Callithrix jacchus: one gene and its partners. The protein of the gene in region 2 interacts with the protein of the main gene of each other region in a pairwise test. Links are inferred from orthologs where the notes say so. Each region holds a gene or a part of one and is shown on either strand. Other genes may lie near its edges. The genes, in order: TLE1, TK1 and PTPRK.

The links.
Region 1: the proteins of TK1 (region 2) and TLE1 interact in a two-hybrid assay, tested with the Homo sapiens proteins (2 studies listed by BioGRID and IntAct). The link is inferred for Callithrix jacchus from reciprocal best matches to the Homo sapiens genes TK1 and TLE1.
Region 3: the proteins of TK1 (region 2) and PTPRK interact in a two-hybrid assay, tested with the Homo sapiens proteins (2 studies listed by BioGRID and IntAct). The link is inferred for Callithrix jacchus from reciprocal best matches to the Homo sapiens genes TK1 and PTPRK.

What each region holds. Positions count from the first base shown.
Region 1 is NC_133502.1:101,338,490-101,342,236, reverse strand, and holds the start of TLE1 (transducin-like enhancer protein 1), read right to left. Parts: upstream 2,541-3,747; 5' UTR 1,229-2,540; coding exon 1,205-1,228; intron 418-1,204; coding exon 317-417; intron 110-316; exon of another isoform or gene 1-109. Other genes in the region: uncharacterized protein LOC103792545, read left to right, coding at 2,732-2,753, 2,804-2,945. UniProt on the Homo sapiens protein: Transcriptional corepressor that binds to a number of transcription factors. Inhibits NF-kappa-B-regulated gene expression. Inhibits the transcriptional activation mediated by FOXA2, and by CTNNB1 and TCF family members in Wnt signaling.
Region 2 is NC_133506.1:133,959,113-133,962,759, reverse strand, and holds part of TK1 (thymidine kinase, cytosolic), read left to right. Parts: intron 1-2,871; coding exon 2,872-2,961; intron 2,962-3,299; coding exon 3,300-3,419; intron 3,420-3,518; coding exon 3,519-3,647. UniProt on the Homo sapiens protein: Cell-cycle-regulated enzyme of importance in nucleotide metabolism. Catalyzes the first enzymatic step in the salvage pathway converting thymidine into thymidine monophosphate.
Region 3 is NC_133505.1:134,537,245-134,540,891, reverse strand, and holds part of PTPRK (receptor-type tyrosine-protein phosphatase kappa), read left to right. Parts: intron 1-1,231; coding exon 1,232-1,367; intron 1,368-1,625; coding exon 1,626-1,775; intron 1,776-2,946; coding exon 2,947-3,120; intron 3,121-3,647. UniProt on the Homo sapiens protein: Regulation of processes involving cell contact and adhesion such as growth control, tumor invasion, and metastasis. Negative regulator of EGFR signaling pathway. Forms complexes with beta-catenin and gamma-catenin/plakoglobin.

The DNA of each region.
Region 1 (3,747 bases), on a different chromosome or scaffold from region 2:
TCAGTCTGTTGAAAAATAAATAAATGAAGTGCAAATATTGACGATTCTCATGCAACTTCTAGAGAAACCAAAAAGGACTCCTTGGATCAGCAGCAAACCAGCAAAAGGGAAACAATGGGAGGAGGAGGAGACAAGAGAAGAGGCGGCCCGGGAAGAGCCACGAAAAGGGGTAACTTGAATGACAGGTCTTAACAGCGACTCCAAACGCCACCACCTGGACGCGAGAACTAAGTACAGGCGCCGCCGCTTACCCAGCTGGGCGACGAGGGGCACGGGGCCGCCCGAGACCACTCGCCTGGCGTTGCCGGACACGCACCTGTGATACTGTGCCTGCAGGAACTGGAATTCCTCTTTAATCCGGTCCAGGGACTCCGGGATAGTGAACTTGAAGGGCTGGCCTGCAGCCTGGTGCGGCGTCTGGGGGCGACCAGCGAGGGGGACCGAGGGACGGGAATGAGGGCGGATGAATAAAGCAGTAAGTTAGAAAAGAAAGGAACGGGTCGGACATAAAAAATAAAGTTGTAAGTGGCTGAAAACGAGGTCCCAAACTCGAGTTTGTGCTTCACTTTGGGAAAGGGGAAAGTGGACCCTCCCCGGCCCCCGCTTCTAAAAATGCTCGAAAGCCCTTCCCAGCGTCCCCGGCGGATCGCTCTAAGTGCTCCCGGGTCACGAGGCCAAGAGGGAAGGGGGCTTCCCGGCGGCCGGGGAAGACCAGGCCAGATTGTCGGTGTCGCCGCCCCTTCCCCCACGGGGGCGATAATGACCCCGGGGACTGGAGGAGAAAAACAACTCCTTTACGCTCCCCATTCCCAGAGTCACCGGGGCCACCTCCAGACGCACCGGAACGGGGGCCGCATTGACGTGTAAATAGCCGAGAGGAGAAACAATGGGAGGGGGCGCCTGGCCGCCCTCGGGAAAGGTGGGGAGGGATACGGCTGCTCGAGAGAAACCCTAGCCTTCTCCAGCAACCCTGTCCGCCCAGTATAGACGCCAAGTAGGAAAGAACCCAAAGGGAGGGAGAAAATCCAGAGTTTCTGCCCACTCCCCAACCCAGGAGGAGGGTGTCCCGAACCTTCCTAGTCTTACACCGCTGAGGGCCAGAGGGTCCTCCAGGCCGCAGAAGCCACCCGTCTCCCTACCGCCCCGGAGAAGTGTCTCCCCAACGCTCCTGCCCGCCGCACCCCCCCACCCAGCCGCGCCTCACCGGGTGCCGGCTCTGCGGGAACATCGCTCTGGCGGCGGCCGGGGCTCTGTTCCCGGGCAACTCAATTCTCCGGTCAATTTCCAACTTTAATCCCGCCGAGGAAAATCAAGCCGGGAAGCCGGGCAGAAGCGGGGAGCGCGGGGGGCGCGCTGGCCACGCACGCAGGCGCGCTCGGCCGGGCGCACCGGCCACTCAGCGCCCGCAGCTGCTCCCGCTCCCGTCGGTGCGGGCTCCCGCCCTCAGGGCCACATCACCGGCCGCCCCAGGCCCAGCTGCTCCAAGAACCTGCGCGACGACGCCAGGCGCCCGGAGACTGTGCGCTGGAGCTGCGCTCCAACCCCCCAGCCTCAGCCGCCGGGGCGGTGAGGCGGGGGCGCGGTGGCTCCGACCGCACTCCCCTTGGCGATCCGCGTGCGCGGCGTCAGTCCTGGGCAAACAAATCCAGGCGGGCTGCTTTTCTTTGCTCTTCTCCTGATCCGCCTCCTTTCCGGGTTTTCCCCGCGGCGGTGGCGGCGGGCGAGGTGCAGGTGGCGCGGCGGCCCCGGCTAACCCCACACAAACCCGACGCTTTCTGGGCGACTCCCCCAAGACCCGACTGCGCCTTCGGCCGGGCGCTCGCGGGCTCCCGGGACACGGCGGAGAGAGAGGTTGAGGACGCGGCGGAGGATCCCGGCCGGGGAACGAAGGATGACGAGGCGGGGAAAGTGCGGAGGGCGCGCCGGGAGGCGGCTCGGCACGCCCCGTGCGACCAGCACTCGGTGTTCTCCGCGGTTGCACAAACCCTCCTGGCCCGACGGGGCTACTCCACAGAAAGCAGTCCCGCAGCTGCCAGCTGCTCCTCCAGCCCGAGGCGCATCAGGGCGCCGCGCCTTGCGCGCACTCGCCCCGCACGGCCGGCACGGCCGCTCCGGACCTTTATTCCGAGTCCCTTCTTCTTCGGTCTTCTTTCTTTTCTTCCTTCCCTTGGTGTGCCTCTCCTCAAAGGGCGCTGCAGCCCGCGGCAAAGTTCTCTCACCACCCAAAAGACCACATCCTCGAGATGGTGGTGAAAACTGCAGTTGTGCACTCCGCCGCTCGGCCTCCCTCCCCCGCGGGCAAACTCCGCGGGCGAGTCCGGAATAGTCACCGCGGCGGGGCCGGCGGGGGTTTTGGTCACTGCAGAACGACGGAGGTCCGGGTTGGTGGCGCGGGTCCCGCCCGGCCGTGCGAGGGTGGGGGTGGCGCAGTCGGCTGCCTCCCGGACGCAGGGCACTGAGTACCCGCCGCTGCTGCTGCTGCTCTTGCAGCCGCCGATCGCACAGCCGACGCCGCCGCCCGCGCCTCTCGCGCCGGTTACATTAACACGCGGTTTCACACTCCGGAGCTAACCAGCGCCGGCCCCGCCCAGCCCCACGCGGGCGGGGGCGCGAGCGCGGAGCCGGCGGGGGACGTGGGCCCGGGAGATTGGGAAGGGGCAGGAGGCCCGTATCAGCCAATCGTGTGCTCTGCACCCAACGTGGGGCGCTGACGCGCGCCTCCCCGGAGCCTATGGCAGCGCAGCGCCGGACTGGTAGTTCTCCCTCCCCCGTTCTCTCGCTTCTATCTCCGCCGTCTCGTCAGTCTCCCCTCCCACCCCGGCCCCTCCTCCGCCAGCCGCGTCCTCCCGGGCTTGGCGAGGAACTGTTCCTGGAGGAGCCGCGGGACGCCAAAACCAGCCAATGGGAAGCGGCAGTTCGCGTAGATTGGCACTGAAGATGGGAAGGTCGGTGGGAAGGAGAGCGGCGGGGCTGGGCTGTCAATCAAAGTAACGTGGGGCTGGCTAGGGAGAGCGCGGGAGCGCGCTAATGGGAGGGACTGGCTAGCGTGCCGCCGAGGAAGCTGGGGGCTCGAGTTTGCAAAAATCCTGCCACTTGCTCACTTTTCCCTTTAATGAAAATCCTCAAATCTGAGTGAAAGTAACTCAAAGACTAGCTGCGTAGTTATTTATTGGAGGCGGAGGGGCGTTTTTGGTAATTCGAGAAAATGAGTTTTTCGGTGCTGGACCCCTGTTTGATGCTACTCAAAGTGAGGCCACATTCAAAAATTTATTTGAGGTTTGTTTTTCCTTAAGGTGCCTTTTTACGAATGTAGGAGAGGGAGTGGACTGTGCACTTAGTAGGAAATGCGTAAATGAGCAACCCCACGGTTGGCGTACGTACACCAGCCGCAAAGACGACTATGATGTCCTCCCACTCCATCACCCCCTTTACACTCAAAGTGGTAGGATTTGATTTTATTGCAGGATTTCACGCCACTCTTCAAAAAGATAATCCTGCCCCTTTTGGCGGGAAAGATTCCCAGGGTGCTGCCAGAACAAGGCACGCGTGTCCGCAAAGGAGACGCTTTGCCCCGGGGCGCGAAATCCCAGGTCTTAGTCTTAAAAGTCCTGACTTCGCTGTGTTGGGAGAGGAGGGGAGCGGCTGAGGTTTTTAGGAGCCTCTGAGCTACAAGACCATGAGTGTGTTTCCAATTCCTGGGAACAGAGAGAGAAAAAGTCATAAACCCGAAGTGAGACCTGAAAAACT
Region 2 (3,647 bases):
CCTCTCAGAACAAGGAAGAGCAAGGAAGCTTTAGCTTTGGCGAGGCTCTCCCTGCCTTCAGACCTGCCACTGTGAGTTGCTCAAGAGCTCTGCTCTGGCTCTGCATAAACCTTGTTGACAGATGCTGACCCAGACCCCCCCCAGGCAGAAACCTTTCCCTTCTCCTTCCTCCTTCCGTAACATCCAGGAGCCAGCATATTAAGTCCTGTCCCGTTCCAGCCTGAAGGAGAGATTTCTCAGTCTACTTCCTCCCTGGCCCACAAGTAAAACTTTAGTTCATTCAGGGAGTGCTTATTACACCCCATATCCAGACATCAGCCTTGTGCCATTCTGTGTGCCCTTGTTCCTTTCTAGAAGTTTAGCATCTTCCCACTGCAAGCATTTCTAGATGGAGGAGAGGGGTTCCTAGTATGGGGACCCACAGAAGGACTGTCCTTCCCTCCTTCATTGTCTACGTGGACAGTGGAAGAAGCCCAGCCTGACCTGCCTTGTTCCTGTTTTCTGGGTCAGCAGGGAAAGCCTTTCATAGAGTAGCCACCATGCCATCCTGAGGAAGGCCCTAGGTCAGAAGCTTCTGTGCTTCTTTGTATGCCGGGTGAGGCACAGTGGCGCTCACACTGCTTTGTAGAAATTGTTGGCATGCAAGAGAGAGTCATGTGGAGACCCCAAAGCCACTAGCTGGGCGTGCTGTGCTTCAGATGCTGGTGGTGGGTGAGCACCCTGGCCCCAGCACCTCCCCGATGCGTTCATCAACAGCTGTACAGTGTCTGGCGGGCCTGCAGGGTTGCTTGGCAATAGTGGAAGCTCTGATTTTTTTAAACTTTTTTTTCTGGCTGGGCACAGTGGCTCACACCTATAATCCTAGCGTTTTCGAAGGCCAAGGCGGGCGGATCACTTGAGGTCAGGAGTTTGAGACCGGCCAGGCCAACATAGTAAAATCCCGTCTCTACTGAAAATACAAAAATTAGCCGGATGTGGTGGCACACACCTATTATTCCAGCTACTTTGGAGGCTGAGGCAAAATCATCACTTGAACCCGGGAGGCAGAGGTTGTGGTGAGCCAAGATCATGCCACTGCACTCCAGCCTGGGTGACAGAGTGACTCTGTCTCAAAAACAAACAAACAAAAAAAACCAAAAAACGGTTTTTTGTGTTTTCTGTTCTACTAACACAAGTAATACAGGTTGAATGTTCCTTATCGTAAATGCCTGGGACCAGAAGTGTTTGGATTTCTGATTTTTTCAGATTTTGGAATATTTGCATATATATAATATAATGAGACCTTGGGAATGAGTCCCAACTGTAAATACAAGATCCGATATGTTTATAGATGCCTTATCCACATAGCCTGGGAGTGATTTTATATGCTATCTGGTAATTTGGGCATGAGCCAGGGTTTTGACTGTGAGCTGTCCCATAAGGTCAGGTGTGAAATTTTCCACTTGTGGTATGCACTCAAAAAGTTTCAGGTTTTGGAGCCTTTTGGATTAGAGACTTCGTAAGTTTAATCTGGAAAAACTTAAGAGTCTGGCACAGTGGCTCATGCCTGTTATGCCAGCACTCTGGGAGGCCGAGGCACGCAAATTGCTTGAGACTAGGAGTTTGAGACCAGCCTGGGCAATATGGTGAAACCCTGCCTCTACCAAAAATACAAAAATTAGCCAGGAGTAGTGGCACATACCTGTAGTCCCAGCTAGTTGGGAGGCTGAGGTGGGAGCATCGGCTGAGCCTGTAGGTCCAGGCTGTGAGTCATGGTTGAGCCACTGCCCTCCAGCCTGGGCAATGGGGAGCAAGACTGGGAGCTGCCTTTTTGTGACATGTGATGAATCCTCAGAGAAAAAGAGAGAACACGTGCATGGTGGGGCAGGGCCCAGCGTGCTGGAGTCTCTGGGTTTTCTTTCTAGAGGCCCCTGCAGTCTGCTGAGCGCAGTCGGTTACATCAGGCTTCACCTGGATCCCACTGGAATTTTTCCAGTTATCCCCTAGTCCTCGCCTTGCTAAGCCCTAATGTCTTAATAACCTCAAACCTCAGTACCTGGGCTGAGGAAAGCCTGAGGGGCTCCTGGAGAGAGACCTGTGCCCAAGGACAGGAACATCCCCACTTCAGCCAACCCAAAGGCCAGTCTGGACATGTGAACTCAACCAGCTAAAAGCAATATGACTGATTGATGAGAATCACCAAAGCACTTGCTAGAGTTTCAGCTTCTCCCTGGGCCAAAGTGAAATTTGATGTAGGCAGTAAATGTGCTCTGTGCCGGCCCTGTATTTAGAAGGCTGTGCTGTGTCATCCTGCTCTGTAAATGGCCAGGAGGACCCCCACACCTTCTCAAGGCACATTACCTGTCTAAAAAGGCGAGGGGGCAAGAGCACAAAATGCCCAGCTACTCACTGAAGTGCATGTGTATAACTTAGTGCCTTCTGTCCTTACACAATAGGACCTTTCTTGCTATCGCTCAGTGAAGAGGAAACAGGTTCAGAGAAGTTAACTCACTGCCAAGGTCACACAGATAATGGTGTCCGCTCGGAATAGCGGTGTCCGAGCCCCAGGCAGCAGATGTCTGGCCCCAGCCTTTGGCCGCTGCAGTGTTAAACAGCACAGCAGGTGTGGAAGTCTGATGCTGAGTCCTGGGTACCTGGACTCGGAGCAGAAGCTGGCTGCAGAGGGAAGAGGCTGGGCAGTTGTGGATGTGCCTGTCATCTGCTGGGAGGGCACCCATGGACAGTCCCCAGCCTGAGGAACCTCATGGAAGAGTTAGAGTTGCTCCAGGCTGAATGGCGGGAGTTGTCTGATCTGGCAGCGTCTCTGCTGGGACTTCAGGGAGCTGCTGCTAGGGTGGAAACTCTCACGCTTTCTCCACCTTCCCTTTCCAGTTCCCTGACATCGTGGAGTTCTGTGAGGCCATGGCCAACGCCGGGAAGACAGTAATTGTGGCTGCACTGGACGGGACCTTCCAGAGGAAGGTAAGGTGTCTGATCCAGGTCTGGAGCGTGATTCCAGGAGGGGAGGGGGCTTCTGGGTGGCCAGGGCCCAGCCACTGTAGGGGCACAGTTGAGCTGCTCAGACCAGTCCTTGCCTGAGCCTAGGGACTCCCTGGTCTATGCAGACCAGGTGCCATCTGTTGCGGCAGGTGGTTTGAATTGGCAAGGAGACAAAGCCAGGCATGGTGCTCTGGGGGTTGGGGGAGGACTGAGGTCAGAGCAAACTTTCCTGGCTTCAGTGCTTATGAATCAAAGGGTTTAAAAGAAAACCCCGCCTGGGAAGGTAGCCGAGCACCCACTGTCTTTCCATGGGAGTGCAGGCATTTGGGACCATCCTGAACCTGGTGCCGCTGGCCGAGAGCGTGGTGAAGCTGACCGCAGTATGCATGGAGTGCTTCCGGGAAGCCGCCTACACCAAGAGGCTTGGCACCGAAAAGGAGGTACCTCCACCTGTCTTCCCTGCGGGCTGGTGGGGTGGGGGCGTGGCTCTGTCTCCTTCCTGTCCCGGCCCTTCACCCATCCCCTGTCCCTGCGGCTAGGTCGAAGTGATTGGAGGAGCAGACAAGTATCACTCTGTGTGTCGCCTCTGCTACTTCAAGAAGGCCTCAGGCCAGCCTGCCGGGCTGGACAACAAAGAGAACTGCCCCGTGCCAGGAAAGCCAGGGGAG
Region 3 (3,647 bases), on a different chromosome or scaffold from region 2:
TATCCAATCAGCTTTTTTTAAGAGTGTCAAAACAAGGCATTTGAGCATAAAAACTAATGTTGCTTACAAAGTTTCAGCTTGCTTGTATTACAGATGAAGCAGAACAGCAATAAAGTAAAAGTTGGCTGTAAGTAGGCTATAAAACAGGAACTTAAGAAATACTTACATTCATCTTAATGTGTGTAGTGTTACCCACAATTTAAAATGTAGAAACTCTGCTTTTAGTGGCAACATCTGTGTTTTTTTGTTTTCTGTTTTTATCACTTTTGCAAATCCCATATTGTATAGAATGCTAGGTTGAAATAGACATTTCTTGTCAATCTAGAAAATTCCCAGTAGAATTCCAGCTTTTAAAACTAAATTTGAGACACACAGAGTTACTAAATGGCCTAAATTGCAAGAATTTGTGCTATAAAACAGCAATTTAATTTTTTTTTTAAGACTTCACATTAGAGGACCTTGAGAACTGCATCAGTGAGATTCAGCAAATATATGCCAAAAAAACACAAACATTATATCCAGACTTACTTCTGATTAGAAATTTCTCTTAAAACAGGCATTTAGAGATTCTAAAAGCAAATTACATGGGCTCATTTTGAGGTGTGACCAGAAAAATAAGTACTGAATCTGAAAAGCTTTTCCTAAATGATGCTGCACACCATTCTCAAATGCTCTTCCCTCCAAGCTACATAATAGGTTGTAATTAAGCATTTTTTGCTTTCTGAAAATCCAATCTATTCATGATTTAGATAACCATATATAAAAGGGGAGGGGGAAGCAGAGAATGAAATAAAGGTAAAACATCCCATAGGATCAGATAATATGTACCCTGAAAACCAAACAAAAAAATCTTCCTTTCAATCCTCCTCATGAACTCTGATGTACTCTTCAATTACATCCCTGTTTCCAACTCTGGGAACTATGATTGAGAAGATGGTAGAGGACAAAAATAAAGAGAGACAGCCATAATATCTTTTGCTTAAATTTCTAAAAGAACAGTGAGTTTAAGAGAAGTGACCAAATCTGGATAACAAGGAAATAATGTTATTAGCCTATCTAACTACAGATATGAGTTAGTAGAAAATGAGATAAATATGTTTTCAGTTTAGGGATTTCTTGATTTATCAGAGAGGTTTACTTCCTTATGAATTGGTTGCTTCAGAAGTGCTCCTTATTTAAGGTTATGAAGGCTAACTAACATGCTTCTTACAATTGTTTTAATTATTTTCAGTGCTGGTGCTGGAAGAACTGGCTGTTACATTGTGATTGACATCATGCTGGACATGGCTGAAAGAGAGGGCGTTGTTGATATCTACAATTGTGTCAAAGCCTTAAGGTCTCGTCGTATCAATATGGTCCAGACAGAGGTATGTAGATTTACCTGTAGTGGACTTTTTTTTTTTTAAAAAAACAAGCAAGGGTAGATGTCTTTCATATATACTCTACTCAACCAAAAGAGTAGATTTTTTTTCATATGTAATCAATATTAGCTCAGTCATATAGAAAAATATTGGTACTTCAATTCATATTTTCATATAGAGAAAATTTTCTGTATTCTCTACCTTTGATGACAGAAAAGTGGTACCAAAAATAATACAAAATTTTCTTTGTCATTCTTTTGGTAGGAACAATACATTTTTATTCATGATGCCATTTTAGAAGCCTGCTTATGTGGAGAAACTGCCATACCTGTCTGTGAATTTAAAGCTGCATATTTTGATATGATTAGAATAGACTCTCAGACTAACTCTTCACATCTCAAGGATGAATTTCAGGTATTAACTATTTCTCAAACCTCTGTTATGACTTAATTCATTTTGTTCTGGATACTATCAGTCCTTTTAAGGAAGGTCTCAAGTCAAATGTATAACCTTTGATTCTGTTTTAAATATAATACATGTCTCTTTCATTATACATATTATATAGTCACTTTTCTATTAATGAATTCATATCTACTATATCTAAAATAAGTTCAGACTGAGGGAAGAGCAAGAGGGAAAGGTATCATAAAAGTCAAAATTAGTGGTGATTTCTGTGTATTTATAGACTTTTTTTCATACAGTCATACAGATTTTGACCTGTGTCACTCACAATGCGAGTAGTTCAAGCACATTAATTACAATAACCAAGTCTGGGCGCAGTGGTGGTTCTCACCTATAATACTAGCACTTTGGGAAGCCAAGTCAGGCAGATCTTGAGGTCAGCAGTTCGAGACCAGCCTGACCAACATGGCAAAACCTCATCTACAAAAAAAATACAAAGAAATAGGCAGGCATGGTGGCACAAGCCTGTGGTCCCAGCTGTTCAGGAGGTTGAGATGGGAAGATTGCTTGACCTTGGAAGGCAGAGACACTGTGGTGAGCCCAAGATACCGCCACTGCACTCCAACCTGGGGAGTAGAGCAAGATTCTGTCTCAAAAAATAATAATAAATGAAGTTGGTAGTAAATACTATTTCAAAATAGCCCTAAATGTTTTTACTGCCCTTAAAACATCTCTGAAGGTGACTGAAAAAATAAATAGGAAAGACCAAATTGTTTGATTGTTGGCCCAGTGCTCTTTCCAACATGCCATAGCTTATCTTCAAATATGGTAAGCCCAGAAGTTATTACACATGATACCGTTTCCCACTGTGATAAAGGGTCATTATCATCATGGACTTCCTGATTGTATTTTCTTTGGTCAAGGCAATGCATTTTACATGTAGCAATGCTGTTTAGCTTCCCTTTTCCTTTTAAGAAGAGGAGCAATGTGTGTCTTGTTTCACTTTCTCACTTCTCAGGCGTCATTAGCTTTAACCCAAAGTCTATCAGCTTGTCAGAGTAGCAAATGCCATTGCCTTGCACAAATCCTTCACTTCCACTTGGTCTAATAAATATCTGATGGATCTGTGTTATACTGTTAAATGGGTCACTGTCATTTAACCTGGGTTCCCTTTTCGTTTTAGACTCTGAATTCAGTCACCCCTCGACTACAAGCTGAAGACTGCAGTATAGCATGCCTGCCAAGGAACCATGACAAGAACCGTTTCATGGACATGCTGCCACCTGACAGATGTCTGCCTTTTTTAATTACAATTGATGGGGAGAGCAGTAACTACATCAATGCTGCTCTTATGGATGTAAGAGACTGCCCTCTTTGTTAGTGTAGAGTGCTGTGAAAAGCTATGTAATGCAACTGAACACTAGCTAGTTTTCTTTTCAAGAATATTGAAATAACCTGAAAAGAAAAATGGAAACTTTTATTGAAATATATTTTTTGGAGAATGATTTTAGATTTTCCCTATAGGAATTTTTCAGAACTATCATTTTTATAGCTTTATTATAGATTTAGAGATTGTCAGTTATTATATTCATAGAGTAAATATTACATGTTATAAATTTCATCTTAATTATTTTCAGAAAAGAAAATCATGCCTTACCTATTTGAATATAATTAGAAATAAATTTTTTAAATTACAGAATGCCAAATTCTACAAAAATTGTGTTAATTTGGGAAATTTTTATTTCCGACATTTGTTTTCATAGTTTACAATTAACTTGTTGGTTATTAAACAAGAAATACTATTATAAGTAACTAGAGAAGGGATGGATAGTATTATGTTAAACATCCATCATAATGAAAGAACGATCTTGCCCCATTCTAGTC